Linked DNA regions of Drosophila melanogaster. The protein of the gene in region 1 interacts with the protein of each later gene in a biochemical or structural test. Each region holds a gene or a part of one and is shown in the gene's direction. Other genes may lie near its edges.

The links. The genes of interacting proteins can lie anywhere in the genome.
Region 2: of the proteins of imd (region 1) and Tak1, one has a biochemical effect on the other in vitro, tested with the Drosophila melanogaster proteins (one study listed by BioGRID).
Region 3: of the proteins of imd (region 1) and Dredd, one has a biochemical effect on the other in vitro, tested with the Drosophila melanogaster proteins (one study listed by BioGRID).

What each region holds. Positions count from the first base shown.
Region 1 is NT_033778.4:18,409,261-18,415,247, reverse strand, and holds imd (immune deficiency), read left to right. Parts: upstream 1-1,648; 5' UTR 1,649-1,792; intron 1,793-1,818; exon of another isoform or gene 1,819-1,922; intron 1,923-2,170; exon of another isoform or gene 2,171-2,400; intron 2,401-2,891; exon of another isoform or gene 2,892-3,221; intron 3,222-3,661; 5' UTR 3,662-3,837; coding exon 3,838-4,497; intron 4,498-4,914; coding exon 4,915-5,076; 3' UTR 5,077-5,452; downstream 5,453-5,987. Other genes in the region: GstE9 (glutathione S transferase E9), read right to left, coding at 5,492-5,987.
Region 2 is NC_004354.4:20,521,908-20,526,921, reverse strand, and holds the start of Tak1 (TGF-beta activated kinase 1), read left to right. Parts: upstream 1-1,993; 5' UTR 1,994-2,954; coding exon 2,955-3,023; intron 3,024-3,563; coding exon 3,564-3,863; intron 3,864-4,101; coding exon 4,102-4,417; intron 4,418-4,476; coding exon 4,477-4,658; intron 4,659-4,880; coding exon 4,881-5,014. UniProt on the Drosophila melanogaster protein: Component of a protein kinase signal transduction cascade. Mediator of TGF-beta signal transduction. Responsible for activation of the JNK MAPK pathway (basket, bsk and hemipterous, hep) in response to LPS.
Region 3 is NC_004354.4:633,101-637,501, reverse strand, and holds Dredd (death related ced-3/Nedd2-like caspase), read left to right. Parts: upstream 1-1,956; 5' UTR 1,957-2,018; coding exon 2,019-2,108; intron 2,109-2,193; exon of another isoform or gene 2,194-2,212; coding exon 2,213-2,956; coding exon of another isoform or gene 2,957-2,977; exon of another isoform or gene 2,978-3,014; coding exon 3,015-3,377; intron 3,378-3,445; coding exon 3,446-3,600; intron 3,601-3,663; coding exon 3,664-3,796; 3' UTR 3,797-3,880; downstream 3,881-4,401. Other genes in the region: Mybbp1A (MYB binding protein 1a), read right to left, coding at 4,034-4,401. UniProt on the Drosophila melanogaster protein: Effector of the programmed cell death (PCD) activators rpr, grim and hid. May play an apoptotic role in the germline as well as soma. Fadd interacts with Dredd to promote cleavage of Dredd and is necessary and sufficient for enhancing Dredd-induced apoptosis.

The sequences.
Region 1 (5,987 bases):
CTTAAAAAAAGAGAAAAGTCCTTTTTCGTTCCAAGTCGTTTACAGTACACTGAAATTGAAAAGTAGAAGATATCTTATCAAGTGCATTAAAACGTTTACATCATACTGGACCCTATAAATGAACCTTGTTTATCAGCCAGCGATAAAGCAAACAACCAGGAAGGAAAAATTTCTAGGGGATTATCGAAGTGCTGGTCGATCAATCAAAGAACAAATAGTTAAATGGCATTCTTATTTTGGCAAACATGGATTAAAATAGGCCCGTTTAGCTACAGTTTTCATCTGTTTCTGTTGTCAGTCGCCCGCAGACTTACCAAAATCGCAGATAGTTGATAAGTGCGACCTCCGAGGACCCGCATTTGGCTGCGACCAACTGATAAGGAACTACATAAGTACATACACACTTTAGGACCGCTTGGCTACAGTAAACAAATTAGTACAAAGATAATTCATTGGATATGCGGCGTGACTTATGTACAGGAAATCTAACAAGTTGCGTTACTATTGCTTTCTTATAAAAACGTCAAAAGTTTGCAATTTTTTGTTTGCTGTTTTCCATTTCTTCTTAATTTGTGAATGGAAGAAATTTCCAATAACATCCAATACTACATTTAATAAAATATCTATTAAATTAGATCATAAATTATTCATTGAATTCACCTCTGTAGCTTATATTCGTAAAGTTTCCTTCGACTGAATGCAGAATCATTCCGGGAAACCATGTTGCATGCCCCACTGTAAACAGTGCGTGTCCAAAGGGGGTGCATGAAATGGATTTTCTGGCGTTGATAAACCGAAATAGTCTCTTTTCAAACGAGCTTTCTGCACCACAGCCTGAAACTAAGGCCACGTAGTGCTTGGATCTGCGAGATGAGTGCTCGACACAACTCTCCGCTTTTCGGTGGTGATAAGTGGACGCGGCCGATGGGCCACGCAGGCAGATTCCGGGGCTGAGTGATAACTATCGGCCGTTCTGGCTGATAAGCTCAGTCGTCCGATTGCCACCAAGATATTGTGGTACGTACACACACAAACACACAATGCTACAAGTGCGCTTTCCGAAATTTAGGCTGCTATCAGTCGGATTTCGATTGGGTGAAAGGTTGGGGCCTCGCGAATGAGAAAGAGAGATCTCAGCCGAGGAGCAGCAGAGACCATGCACTTGTTCGACCAAAGCTGTTTTCTAAATCCATGCCCAACGAGTTTTCGTAGCCTACATTTTCCTCTCTACCGAAAGAACAACAAAGATATGTCTGTCTCCTCTCTGTTAGTTGTGTCTTTGTATGTGCGGACAGCGGCGGTGGCAGGGTATGTGTAAAGGGGGCCTCTTACTTTTAAATCATACGGTTTTGTAAATTTCAATGAAAGCTTAATACATTTATATATTACAGATAACAATGACAACTGCAAGTGACACCAGATCATTATCCCTAACATTTAATAATAGTTTTTCATTTCAGAATTAATTTCCCAAAAAAATAATCACCTAACGACGAATCTGTTTGTGCTCATGAAAAATGTGTCAAATACAGAGACAAGAGCACGAGAGCGACAGGAACAGGGAGAGGAGAGAGCGAGAGCTTGACGAAGTAACTTAACGGAGCAGGGGAGCAGCTCCATATAAAACCGGATGATAGCCGGCAACTACAACAAAACGATCGAGCAGTGCCAGTGGTGTATTGTATGCATGTGAGTGTGCTGTGCCTGTGTGCCTGCACATTTCTGTGTCGCTCTTTTTCTTCTTCGGGAATACGGTTGTGTGTGTGTGTTGCCACCTTTCGAGAAGGCACAGGTAAAAAACGAAAACAAGCAACATACCTACATAGCAAATACCATCGTTCATACGTTCGTATGTGACGCCTGCAGCGACGCTGACGTCGACAAATGAAGACAAAGCACAATAACAATGCGCTAAAGTTCAGCTTTAAACAAAAAACCAAAAAAAAAAAAAACATATATACAAAATTGGTATGCACATATCGGATGGATTCTTGTTTCTGTAATTTCGATACAAAGATCCCAAAGACCAAAAAAAGAAAAGCTTGACGTAGTCAGTTTTAGGCATGAAACCGTTAACTTGGACGACATTTGTTGTCTTTTTTTTGGCAAAACACTTGTGTAAAATGTTAAACTATGCAAATTAACTCTAGGCAAAGGTTGTTCAACTTACGGTACTGTAAAATCCAAAAAATCCGGCCGAGTTTACTCTCCTTTGACCAAATCCAGTTTGATAACTTGGGTGTCTGCTGGAAAAGCCGAAAAACAATTGCTTAAAATTAATGCAATTAGCGGATGCAGAAGATCGGATCGTGGCATCACCAGGATGAATGCCCTACAAATCATTTAGTCAGTCATTCTGCGTTATGCACATCCCCAATAGAAAGTCTAATGTTATTTGTCGCAGAGAGCGCGTTGTTGCAGAGAGCACGGTGAAGGAAGGGGAGGGGGGCAGCATATGCGGGCCACTTATTGGACAATTGTTTTTGTGGCAGCAGCGGAGGCAAAATTGGAGCAGCGCGTGGGCGTGTTTGTGTGCGTCTGTGTGTGTGTGTGAGAGTATGGAAATGCGGAAATCAGTGCCGTATGCTTTCCAGGTGAAAGGTTGTGTGGATCCTCTTTTCCGGCACGGGGCGGGGCCTTAACTCTGCCTCCCCCTCTCGAAAAATAGGAAAATTAAAGTAAAAAAAAATAAAAGGCAGCACGCGCGCCTTCCAATCGGACAAATATGCTTATATATGCACGCTCACACGTATGCACGGGATTTTACGTCCCTATGTGAGCGTGTGGGTCGTCGACGTCGCCGACTTTTGTGACTGTGTGGGTGAGCGCGAGTGCGCCGTCCGTGTGTATTATCAACCATTGAAAAACACGTTGTTTTTCGCCGACCGCACACAAATTTGAAGAAAAATTAGCGGCCCGAATTTTCTTTCATCGTTTTTTTTAATTCGCCACTGCCGTCTCTTCTTCTTCTGCTTGCTCTGCCGTCGCCGCCCCACCGCTGCCGGCCCTTTATAACTGTAAATCCGTGCACTCTCTTTCGCTCGCCGCAACTTATGCAATTCCGGCTGCAATTATACCGCCGCACGGATCACCGAGCAATGTGAGTTGATTTTCGCACTGGAATCTTGGTAAATTCACACCCAGACTTTCTATTGGAAGGCAGAACGCACGGACGCGGAACTCAACGTTACCGACTCCAAGTAAAATGTGAATGAACATGAGCGAACGTGGCAAATAGAGATGGGCGATACGCCGCAGCGGGTGCAGGGTTGTCGCTCTTACCAATCGCAAGCGCGAACTGTCAAATCGAACTATCGACTATTGGGTCTATTACCATGGCCTTCTTTTGGGGATTTTCAAAAATTAATTAAAGAATTATTCAATAGTAACAATAAAAAAAATATATTAAAAAAAAACTTAGACAACAAACACCAGTTTTTAAAGATGATAATCGTTATTATGGGGGTTTCCTTATATGCAAATTAATAAAGATTAGATATAAATGCTTAAATTTTTTCCTTATATGCACATAATGATTAAGAATTAAAATTCAAATGTTAAGTTTTGTATGTTAGTCAAATATAATTGATTTTTTCAATCAGACGGAAAAGACAAGAAATGCTATTTAGTTGAATTTCTTAATAAAACTAAAAATTTTTAGTTGTAAGTGAAATATCGGTTGATAATCGGCTCGGAATATCGATAGTCAGGTCCATCCTTGGCCTACCACCACCAAATTGAAAAAGAGCAAAGAAACACAAAGGCAAAAAACTCCCCAATCTGTGGAATTTCCGGAAGCGAGAGCACATTCAAAGCTACCAGTTATCAGCGAGCAGCATGTCAAAGCTCAGGAACCTGTTGCCCACAATCTTTGGCGGGAAGGAGGCACAGAATCCGACACCCGTCGAGGGACGCCTGGAAAAGGACGCAGCTCCCGTGGACGACAACGAACCAGATAACAACAACAGCGGAGCCCTGGCGCTGCCCTCCACCGCTGGCACGCCCACAGCCTCCTCGGATCTGACCGAATCCGTGCTGCGCGAGCTCAGCGACCCAAACTACAATTCAATGGATGTGGTGCATTCCGCCAATATTCCGGGCACTCTCAGTAACGTCCAGACAAACAACACCATGAACGTACACAGCGCCCAGCAACAGGTGGTCATGAACTTCTCGAATGCCAATAATCTGCACTTCGGCTCCGTCTACAACTTCAACCAAAACTTGAGCGCCTGCAGCTCGCGAAAGGGTAGCACCAGTACCGCAGAGGAGTCGGTCGCCTCTCCAGACGGTAAGCCGCGGGCAAGTGCGACGCGCAAAACGGTCAGCATTGTGGCCATGATGCAGTCACAAGAGGAACCGGATGTGCGCCTGCTCGATGTGGTTTCCACGCACTTGGGCGAGGGCTGGAAGCAGGTGATGCGGGATCTTGGCATGTCGGAAGGACAGATCGACCAGGCCATAATCGATCACCAAATGCATGGCAATATTAGAGAGGTAAGGCCCCTGAAGTTTAAACTTCTCTTATTTGTTGTTGAATGTTGATTCAAGAACAGAACATACAAACTCAAATTAGTATGTAAAACAACAGACTATGCTAAGATGATTGTGACGCATCAGACTAATTTAATGACTCAAATACCACTATTTCTGTTAGATTTCATTGCTTGACACGAATGGATTGTTCAACTTAAAAAAAAAAATAATATAAATTAGCTTACATTATTGTGAGCTATTTATTTTATATAATACTGATAGTGATTCCACTTGTTTGTCTGATTAGATTGCAAGTTATGGTGTATAAATGTCACAACTCTGTTGTTAGAGTACCAGAAGATTTTAATGATTTTTAAGAGTTAGAAAATCAATCATAAAATCAGAAAATAACACTTTGCTTTGTGTCTACGTCTATAGGTGATATACCAGCTGTTGCTCCAGTGGATTCGAAGCTCGGCGGACGGTGTGGCCACCGTTGGACGACTTACTACACTGCTGTGGGAGTCCCAGCATCGCGACTGCGTGCAGCGCATGAAACTGGTTTGGAAGGCACTGGAGAAGCGCAAGACAAACAGCTAGTCAGTGAGTGAAACTTGCTAGCAAAGATTCCAGAACGAAAACGATGCATTCAAAGTGGCCCCTTGATGTCCAAGCCAGCCGGATGGTGAAAACTGGAAATGTTTAACCCACCAACTTTTGCTAAATTCAGAGCGGCCTTTGACAGAAGACATCGAGTGGTAGAGAGAAGAGACGAACACGGGATATATGTGCAATATTTGATTTATAAATCCAACCTATCGAATAAGTGCGTAGAATTGCATTAACTGTTATTACTGCAGTTTAATCTTTAAGTTGTGATACTTGTGTCGAAAAAAAAAACCAGCTAATTGAGCTGGTATTTAAAAGCATTTTTGTAAAGTTTATACAAATAGAAGCTTTATTGTTACGTAATCAGAACACGTTGCGTTTGTAACCTTTAAGCTAGTGCAAACAATTACACAATCTTTGTGATCTTCGAACTGAACATGTCGATCAACATCTGTGCCCCATTGCCATTGAGCGACTGGTAATTGGGCTGTGCGGCCATTCTGTCTAGCCAGCCGTTTAACTTGGGATAGCGCTTGGCATCGATAGCGGCCAATCCCACTAGGCTGGAGACCGAGGAAACTACACTGTAGTCGGCGATGGTTATGACCGGTCCGCAGAGGTAAGCCTGATTACCGATGAACGCTTCCAGAAAGTCATAGGCCTCGTAGATGGCATCAATCTGGGAACGCGGCACCTCAGTTATGTTCTTGTAGAACAACGGAATGGCTATGTTCCGGATGCAGCCCTGGAATAACACACCCGACTCAAAGTGCAGGCGCTGATCAACGAGTGCGCGTTTGAAGTAATCCTTGGGATACAGGTCATCACTCTTGGCATAGCGTCTAACCAGATAAGCGCAAATGGCGTGACTCTCCCAGATGAACTTGCCATCGTCCTCCAGC
Region 2 (5,014 bases), on another chromosome or scaffold:
ATTTGTCAATACTACCGAAGAAAAAGCAAAGATATTAAAAAAAGATCATAACAAGATATTCATATCAGCGAAATGCGAGCGGGACTTTAATAATTACTCATAAATTAAATGCGCTACTAATTTAAAATCTAATTTAAATTCAGCAACAGCATTATAACAACAATAAAAAGACGGCTCGTTGCTTCAATTGTGGATCGTCTGAACACATGAAGAAAGATTGCAATGCTGGAACGAAGTGCTTTAAGTGTGGTGCTGTGTGCATATATGTGCATATATCAACAAGTTGCCCGCAGTCAGTTGGTTGGAAATTGGTGCAATTGGTAAAGGATTATACTAAATGGTATTGAAGTTGCTTGCTGGGTTGACACGGGTGCTGATGTTACGGTTGTGATGTACTCGGTGTACATGAGGCAAAAAGATGTTGTGCTAAGTCCATGTCGTTCTTTGTTGCGTGGCCTGGGCAAGGCGGCCACGTTGCCTCTGGGAGTTTTCGCTGGAGATGTTCAAATAGACGATATGGAGACTGTTCAAAACTTCATCGTGGTGGCGGATGAAAAAATGGAAGGTGATGGAAGTGCATTGGATACGATTTTCTATCGAAGTTTCAATTTACACTGGATGTAAATGGGTTTACGTTTTGTGTCGTTATCAGCTTGGCCTGAGGTAGCTAACATTAACCAGATAAGTATTCACGATTATGTTTGCACTGAAAGTAATGTGAATGCTCCTCCCCAATTTGCACCTATGATACGGAAGCTGATAGACGAATATCATCCAACCTCCAATTGTGCCGGATGAGAAAATTAAGACGTTTCGTCATCAACCAAGTCGACATCCGCCAGTTAAAGCCAAAGCCGTTAAAAAACAAGTCGATGACTGGTTAAAAGAAGAAATCGATTGACCATCTACTTCAAGCTTCGCCAGTAGAACTGTCGTAGTGAAGAAAAAAGTACGGCACTTACAGAATCTGTATAGGACTATCGCCAATTAAACAGCATGGTTCTCAAGGATTGCTTCCCTGTGTCGATTTCCTGCAATTCTACTGCGGCATTTATAAGATTTATAAACCACATATTCCCGAGACATTCTACAACTCTATATGGATGATATTATAATATATGGACAGACGAATGACGAATGTATTAAGAAACTAAAGTTGGTGCTATTAGAATCAGCGAAGTTCGGCTTACGTATAAAGTGAAAGAAATGTCATTTCATACGCACGATATTGGAAGAACGACCTTACAATGACCTTAAACTGAAGGGAGGAGTTTTATTCATGTTTGTCAAAGGAAATGATTTGCTTATTGTACCTAAAATAATCGAACGTAAGATTATAAACGAAGCTCATGGATTCGGACATTATGCAAACCAGAACAAACCGTACATTCTATACAACAGCAGTTTTGGATTCCACACCTAGAGAGCAAGGTCGAAAAGCTTATAGACGCGTGTATTCCGTGTATTATTACGAACAAAAAGCTGGGCAAACAGGATGGACTTTTATGATGCATTGAGAAAGGTGACAAGCCGTTACACAATATAAGTACATCTTCGCACTTGTTGGTGGATTTTTGAAATTCGTGTGGATTTTTACTACAAAATGTCTTAACAACAACTGGAGTTGCCAGAGGAAATGGGCGGGTAGAGAGAATTAAATAGATCTATCTTATCGTTTTAAAAATACAACAACGATTGAAAACTCTCGAAATGGGATGTACTGGCGCCATCTATCGGAGGTAATAGGTACCCCGAGACGCATGCAAAGCGCCAGAGGGCGACACAGCTCCTCTGACGAGATGGCATCACTATTTTTATTGGGAGTATTGGTATCTCGGGTGTAAAAATTAAATTGATGCCTAATTTTTGAAAATATGTCACACAAATAATAAGTATCTTTTAAGTGGATAGATCCATTGATGTCGCTGGAATTAAAAATACAAATACCAATGTTATCGTTATCGGCGAGTCCACACTGTGCTAGGCAAAAATATCGACGTACCTTGCGCCCGATATCTGGCACTAATGTATCGATGACGGTCTTGTTAAATTATTAAAAAAAAAACAAGTTTGTACTTGAAAAGTACGGCGTATATCTACAGCGAAGAACGCAAGAACCCGCCAAGGCAGCGTCCGATGCAGACGCCATCTGTTCAAGCATTGAGCCCGGAATCCGGAGGAATCCCGGCCAGGATGTGATGTGCGCACTGGGCCCTCTCCGCTGGTCGATATAAACTCGTGCCCCCCTCTTCTAGCCACCTTCTTGCTGTCAACCGCCTGCTCATTCTACCCCACAGTTCCAGTCCCAGTCCTGCACAGCAATCATCTTCGCCTGGAGAAGTCTACCGGTAGCACGAGTGGTGGAACCAGGCAGACTACAAAGGACACGGAGACCGCGGTGTCTGGGAAATCGGCTGAGCACGGAAACCGATCCACTAGGGTTGGCATCACGCACCACTTTGTCCAGGAACCTGCAGCTGAGGAATCTAGATAACATCTGAAGTCTCCTGGGAACTGCGAAACACACCATATCTTAGCAAAATGACGTGGTAAAAGTTGTCAGTCGCAATCTATACAAAGGCAAGAAACTTTATGATGAATCCAGGTCTAGATCTTGCAAAGATTCCGAAAACTCTGTCCCCAAGAGGGAACCAAAGGCACAGTTAGCCAGCAATGAAATCGGGAACCCACGGAATCGTAGCCACTAAAAAGGCGAAATCCCGGTAATTCTACCAAAATAGCGCACCACCTGGACACCATAGAAGAGAGCCTTAAGGCAAGGAATCGGTGGCATACTTGGACAGTTGAAGAGAACTTTAAATCTGGTAATCAGCGGCGCCAAATGCAACTGCAACTGGTAAACTAGTACTCATTTGTAAGCCAAAACACTGACAAACAAAAGCTGCATCTGAAAAGCAAGTAGAGAACACCAGGATACTTAGCGTTCCACGGAGATGGCCACAGCATCGCTGGACGCACTGCAGGCAGCCTATGTGGACTTCAGTGAGATAACACTAAGAGAGGTGTGCATACCAAACGGAATATACCCAAAGTCTAGAGCTCCTATTGGTGTATACGTATACGCAATCTTGAAACGATAAACAACCAGTAATCATATACCATTTAGGGCAGAGCAAGTACTCATTCTTAGTTAGTCAGACGATTATCGCACTTTCAAAAAGCATGTTTTAATCTATAAACGGTTATTTTTTCGTTTTAAAAGTGTATGCTTTGTAACAGCTCTGTTAAAAAACCCAAGAAAGGTTTTATATTTTAAACTTACGCATTCCTAAATGCTTACATTCGTTTTAGGATTTCGTTTCAAACTTATTAAAACAAACTACAGACTGTATACAAATATCAGCATATTTATTAACGATACGATCTTATCAGTTTGATAAGAAACGAATTTCAAATTTACCCATCACAATGCGTTCGTGTGTTCTACTTGAAGTCAATTCAAACTGTGTTAGACCAAGGTGTATAACGTAATTAGTATTGAGGAGTTTTGCACAAGGAGGGTACAACTGTTGAATCAGATCTAATAATCTTTTTCCCCGCAGAAAGTCGGCCATGGGTCCTACGGAGTGGTCTGCAAGGCCGTTTGGCGCGACAAGCTGGTTGCCGTCAAGGAGTTCTTCGCCAGCGCCGAGCAGAAGGACATCGAGAAGGAGGTGAAGCAGTTGTCGCGCGTGAAGCACCCGAACATCATCGCTCTGCACGGGATATCCTCGTACCAGCAGGCCACCTACCTGATAATGGAGTTCGCCGAAGGTGGATCGCTGCACAACTTCCTTCACGGCAAGGTGAAGCCGGCATATTCTCTGGCCCACGCCATGAGCTGGGCGCGCCAATGTGCAGAGGTAGGTCGTCGTCGAGGGGCGGGGCGGTTATAACGTAGGGCTCAACCCCGTAGCGCTTTCCATCCAATTCGTTGAAATTATCTGGTGAAATAATGACTCAAATGGATTGTGGTAATTCACATTGCTTGCATGATTACTTAAACAATTTCAATAGCTATTCCGCATAACCAGAATTAAAATAATAGTAATTTGTTTAAAGTTTAGCCCTAATTACATTTCCATTTGTTTTCCTCTCTAGGGTCTGGCATATTTGCATGCCATGACGCCAAAACCACTAATACATCGCGACGTGAAGCCGCTGAACCTGCTCTTGACCAACAAGGGACGCAATCTGAAGATATGCGACTTCGGCACGGTGGCGGACAAGTCGACCATGATGACCAACAATCGCGGCAGTGCCGCTTGGATGGCGCCCGAGGTCTTCGAAGGCTCCAAGTATACGGAGAAGTGTGACATTTTTAGCTGGGCCATTGTTCTATGGGAGGTTCTGTCCAGGAAGCAGCCCTTTAAAGGCATCGACAATGCCTACACCATCCAGTGGAAGATCTACAAGGGTGCGTCCTCCAATTCACTCTTTTTCCATCGAGCTTATCGAGATCTGTGCTCCTCGCAGGTGAACGCCCGCCGCTGCTGACCACTTGCCCCAAGCGCATCGAGGACCTGATGACCGCCTGCTGGAAAACGGTGCCCGAGGATCGCCCGTCGATGCAGTACATAGTGGGCGTTATGCACGAGATCGTCAAGGACTATACGGGGGCGGACAAGGCCCTGGAATACACGTTTGTTAATCAACAGGTGAGACAGCTTTATTGGGTCAATACACAATTGTAAAAGAGTCAATTGGTGTTTTTATCTATTGAGGAAAGCGTTCTTTTACTCTGCCCGTCTTTAAAACCTAATTTAAATTCGATATTGTTTGGCACTAAATGCAATCATTACCCTATACGGATAACATCACTTTTGCGTTATTTTCCTTTGCCACACATTGCTAACTCTTGATCCTTGAACTGCTCGCAGATTGTCACCAAAGAGAGCGACGGCACGGTGGCCGCTCAACCGGATAGCCTCAGTTCGCAGGAGGGGGAACTGAGCCCCTCGTCCACACAGTTAACACCGACAACGGCGGCCAACGCCAATGTGAACGCGATAGC
Region 3 (4,401 bases), on another chromosome or scaffold:
TACAATTGGCTTAACATAAAGATTCAGTTATACGTAGTTTTGGACAGCGAAACAAATTCCAGAATCCGAAAAGCGAAAGTCGAAAGCAACGGAGTGGCTTTCCATTGAGCCTAGGAACAATGGGGAAGTCGTAGGCGTTTGCCTTTATTATTGTGCGTAAGCGGAGTGAACCGTTATGAGCCACACGCGCATATGTACATGTGTATGTAAATGCTCGTAGCATTGTACATATGGCGCGGATGCGTGTATATATTTGGATGTAGCTGATGGACGGAATCATTGCGATTGATGAAAATAACAAAATCCAATGCGTCTCACACACGTGCATATAGAGCGCGTGTTTAGTTCTGACTCGCGATTGCCAAGCATGTCGACTCGCTCGCACACTCATGATCTAAGCAGGGCATACACACACACAGCCGAGGCGTGCAGTGCGAGTGCGCGTGTGTGTGTCGACTGCGAGGCAAAATGTTTTTGTCTTTGTTTATACATACATACATATATTTTACAGCGACTTCAAAGCGAATTTGAATATAATTGTTACACTTGAGGTGAAAGTTTTTGTTTGGTTTTCGGTACGATTTGTTTGAATGCTCTGTAAATGGAAGGCGTTCATGCGTGTGGCTTCCCTGCTGCGCAGTTTCCACTTGCATATGTACGTACATACGAACAGCAAAAGAAAAGCACGCAATTTATCTTTTTGTTTGGCTGGCGTTCCAAAATCAAGTGTATGCAATTTAAAAAATTTGCACCATCTGTCCCTTTCTAGCACCCACGTACGTGGGCGTGGGGAGACATGGCCCCGAGAAACATACATACATACATGCATACGCACACATGCATATGCATTGAAGTACATACAAAAATCTGGGAACTACTTATGCCATACAAACATTTCATTTGTTCGATCTTACTCTCTTAGCGTGACTGCTTTATGCTTTTTTGTGGAACATTAACAACTTTTCGGTATTTGTTATAACATTGCTGTTCGGTTTTCGGTTTATAGATGGGATTTTGTTGGTTCGTTGTTTTGCATTTCGCATTTTGCTTTTCGGATTTTCTGCTTTAGTGTTTTGTTTGCGTCGCTGCTTACATAATGTGGAAGTGGTACAGTAGGTGGATAAATATATACATATATATAGAGGCATACATGTATGGGATATAGCAGTGGCCTCACATAGATGTGTATATACATGCATATGTATATATATGTTTGACATACATCTGACTTATACGTATTTGATGACGAAGTGGTTGTGAGGTACATAGATAGGTACGAGACAAATCGTCGAATTTTTCGCCAGTTTTCGTAAATCGAATAGCGGCTTTAGTTTTTTCTTCTGATACTATATGTATGTACAGATTTATATATATGTGCGTGAGGCAAGCGCGCGCTCTCGCTCGCACCCGCTTGTAGCTTGCTTTCGCCCTCTTTCTCTGCCTGAGGGCCCCGTATCTCAGTATCTGTCCCTTTCTCTCTGTCTGTCTCTGTTACGCTCATGGACAGAATACAATATACAAAAACATTAAATTAATAAAACTTTTCGTCCAAAACATAATATTCAGGAGTTGTGTTGTTAACAGTTCAACAGATCGACTTAAACGAACTAGAGGTGTGGAAACATAAAAATACCAGTACATCGATATTTTTCGCAAAGAACATATCGTCGTGTTGGATGATATTAGTTAATCGATGTTTTTACCTAGTATATTTGGTATTTCCCCAAAAACCGTGAACGCAAGCTTACTTTTAAAGCTAAAGGCTCGCTGGCTGCGACATTTTTAAATATTAACCGATTGTTGAACCGGTTGTTAAACTTCTATATCAAAAAACTACATCATCTGTTTCTTAAGTATAATTAATAGGTAGCACCCCGATCTTTCGCTATTGCAGAAAACATATCCATTTATCGATATCGATCGGTGGAAGCTCTTCAGGCCACGGCTATCGGATGTCAGCGAGTGCAATTTATCGGCCATTTCCTAAAGTGAAACATTTTTGTATATTCCCGATCGCCATGGCCGGATCAAACCTGTTGATTCATCTAGACACCATCGATCAGAACGATCTGATCTACGTGGAACGTGACATGAACTTTGCCCAAAAGGTATGGCACCTCCCTGGGAGGACTTTTCGAATATGACTCAAATGTTTTACACATCCGCTAGACCAAAGTGTTAATTAAACAGTAGAACCTTCGTTTTCTTCTAGGTGGGCCTCTGCTTTCTGCTTTATGGCGACGACCACTCGGATGCCACCTACATTCTGCAGAAACTTTTGGCCATGACACGATCAGACTTCCCGCAAAGTGATCTACTCATAAAGTTCGCCAAGTCCCGGCCAGAAACCTGGAGAAGACATCTCGTGGAGGCCCTGTGCATTATTGGGGCCCGCAAGGTGCTCCGGAGACTGGGTTTCTGCTGGCAGGAGCTGCGAATGCACTACTTGCCGCATATCGCTGGGATCACGCTGCATGTCCATCCTCTGTTGAAGAGCCTCTACAGGATGTGTGAGGAGTTGTCGTTGGTGCAGAGTGGCCGCTTGCTCCTAGATGTTCGCGAAAAGGTGGAGAGCCAGCAGGCAGGAGATCCACTTCGCTTCTACGATCCCGCGTACCTGGAGATCTTTTTGCTGGACTGGCTGACCAGAAGGAGCATAAAGTTAGGGGACATAAATGCCGCAGGCAGCGATGTTCAGCTGCTGGTCGGCCATTTGAAGTCCAACGGTCTGCAGGCGCAAGCAAATTTGCTCAAAGACACCATCATTAGTAACGCTCCGGAGCCAGATGCGGCTGGCACTGCTGCGATGGCAGTCAAGCAAGAGATTGAATCGGATAACCAGCAGTCGTACTGTTCCACACAAATAGATGCTCTTAAGTTGACCCGGGAGAACGCAGGAATCGCCTTGATTATCAACCAGCAGAAGTTTCACCGGAATGTTAGCAGGGATAATATGGTTTCATCTCTGCAATATTGAGTAACAAAAAGAAGTACAACATTGCCCTTCTCCACAGAAATTTCTGTCGCCCGACCCACTGCGTAGACGGGATGGCACGGATGTGGATAAAGAACGACTAATCGAGGTGTTTTCCTCGATGGGATACAATGTGGAGGCGTACGACAACGTGGATCACATGGGCATCATAGAGCGCATTCGCAGTGCGTGCGATAGATCGCTCGTGCGCGATTCCCTAGTGGTCTTCATCCTGAGCCACGGCTTCGAGGAGGCCGTCTACGCATCCAACAGCATCGCCATGAAGATCACGGATATCGAGGACTTGCTCTGCAGCTACGACACCCTGTACTACAAACCGAAGTTGCTAATCATACAAGCCTGCCAGGAGAAGCTTGTCCATAAAAAGAAGCCAAATGAGCTCGTAAGGAGATTTATAAGCATGAAGTCGTCGAATGGGAAAGCCTATACATTTTCGTATTCCTCTTTCAGTTTAGGATAGACGTGACCACCGTGTCGCCGGACCAGCACATCGACATGCTGCGGGCCATGTCCACGGTAAATGGATATGCTGCTCTGCGCCACACCCAAACAGGTAGCTGGTTTATCGGGAGCCTGTGCGATGCCATCGATCGCCGTTCCGCCAGGTAAAAAGCTGCCAAAGCAAGCTAGCCCCGAATTAATGCATAAGTTGTTCTTTGTTACTTTAGTGAACACATCGCCGATATCCTGACGATTGTCACCAACGAAGTGTCTAAAAAGCGAGGCAGTAATGACGAGTCCATGGTGCCGAATGTTAAAAGCACATTTCGCCAGCACGTGTACTTTCCACCTCGTCTGTGATTTTGGTTTTTAACGTTAGCGCAGTTGTACGTCCACTCAAATTGCTCTATAAAGGTAAAAATACATTTTTATAAAGTTTAGTGTACTTTTGCTATTTTTTCAATGACTTCAATACTAATTTAGTACTTTTCGTCAGAATTTTTTAAAGAACAAAAAAATTAATAGTATCCTATATTATGCAAGATATTTATACATCTAATTGTAAGGTTTCTTATTGGGGTGTTTCCTTCTTTTACGTTATGTGGACTCTTCATCTTCCACGACCATAGGTTTGGCGGCTGCCTGCTTCTTCTGCTTCGCCACCTTCTTGTTGGGTTGAAGATCCTTGGCGACGAGCTGAATTTGTTCACGCAGTTTCTGCCACTTCTCGCCTCCTTGGGCGAGGATCTTAAGCAGCAGATTGAGTTCCTTGGAACTGCTAGCCTTCGTTTCTAGCTGATTTACATATCTGGCTATCTGCTTCTCAAATTTCTTGGAAGACGAGTTGTTGTCCTTGAAAGCGACTTCGAGCCGGCGACCTTGCTCGCTGAGCAGCTTCAGTATCTGTGCCCGCCGAAAACTGCGTGTTTTCTGTACGTCCAAGTGAGAGGCCAGGACAACGGCCA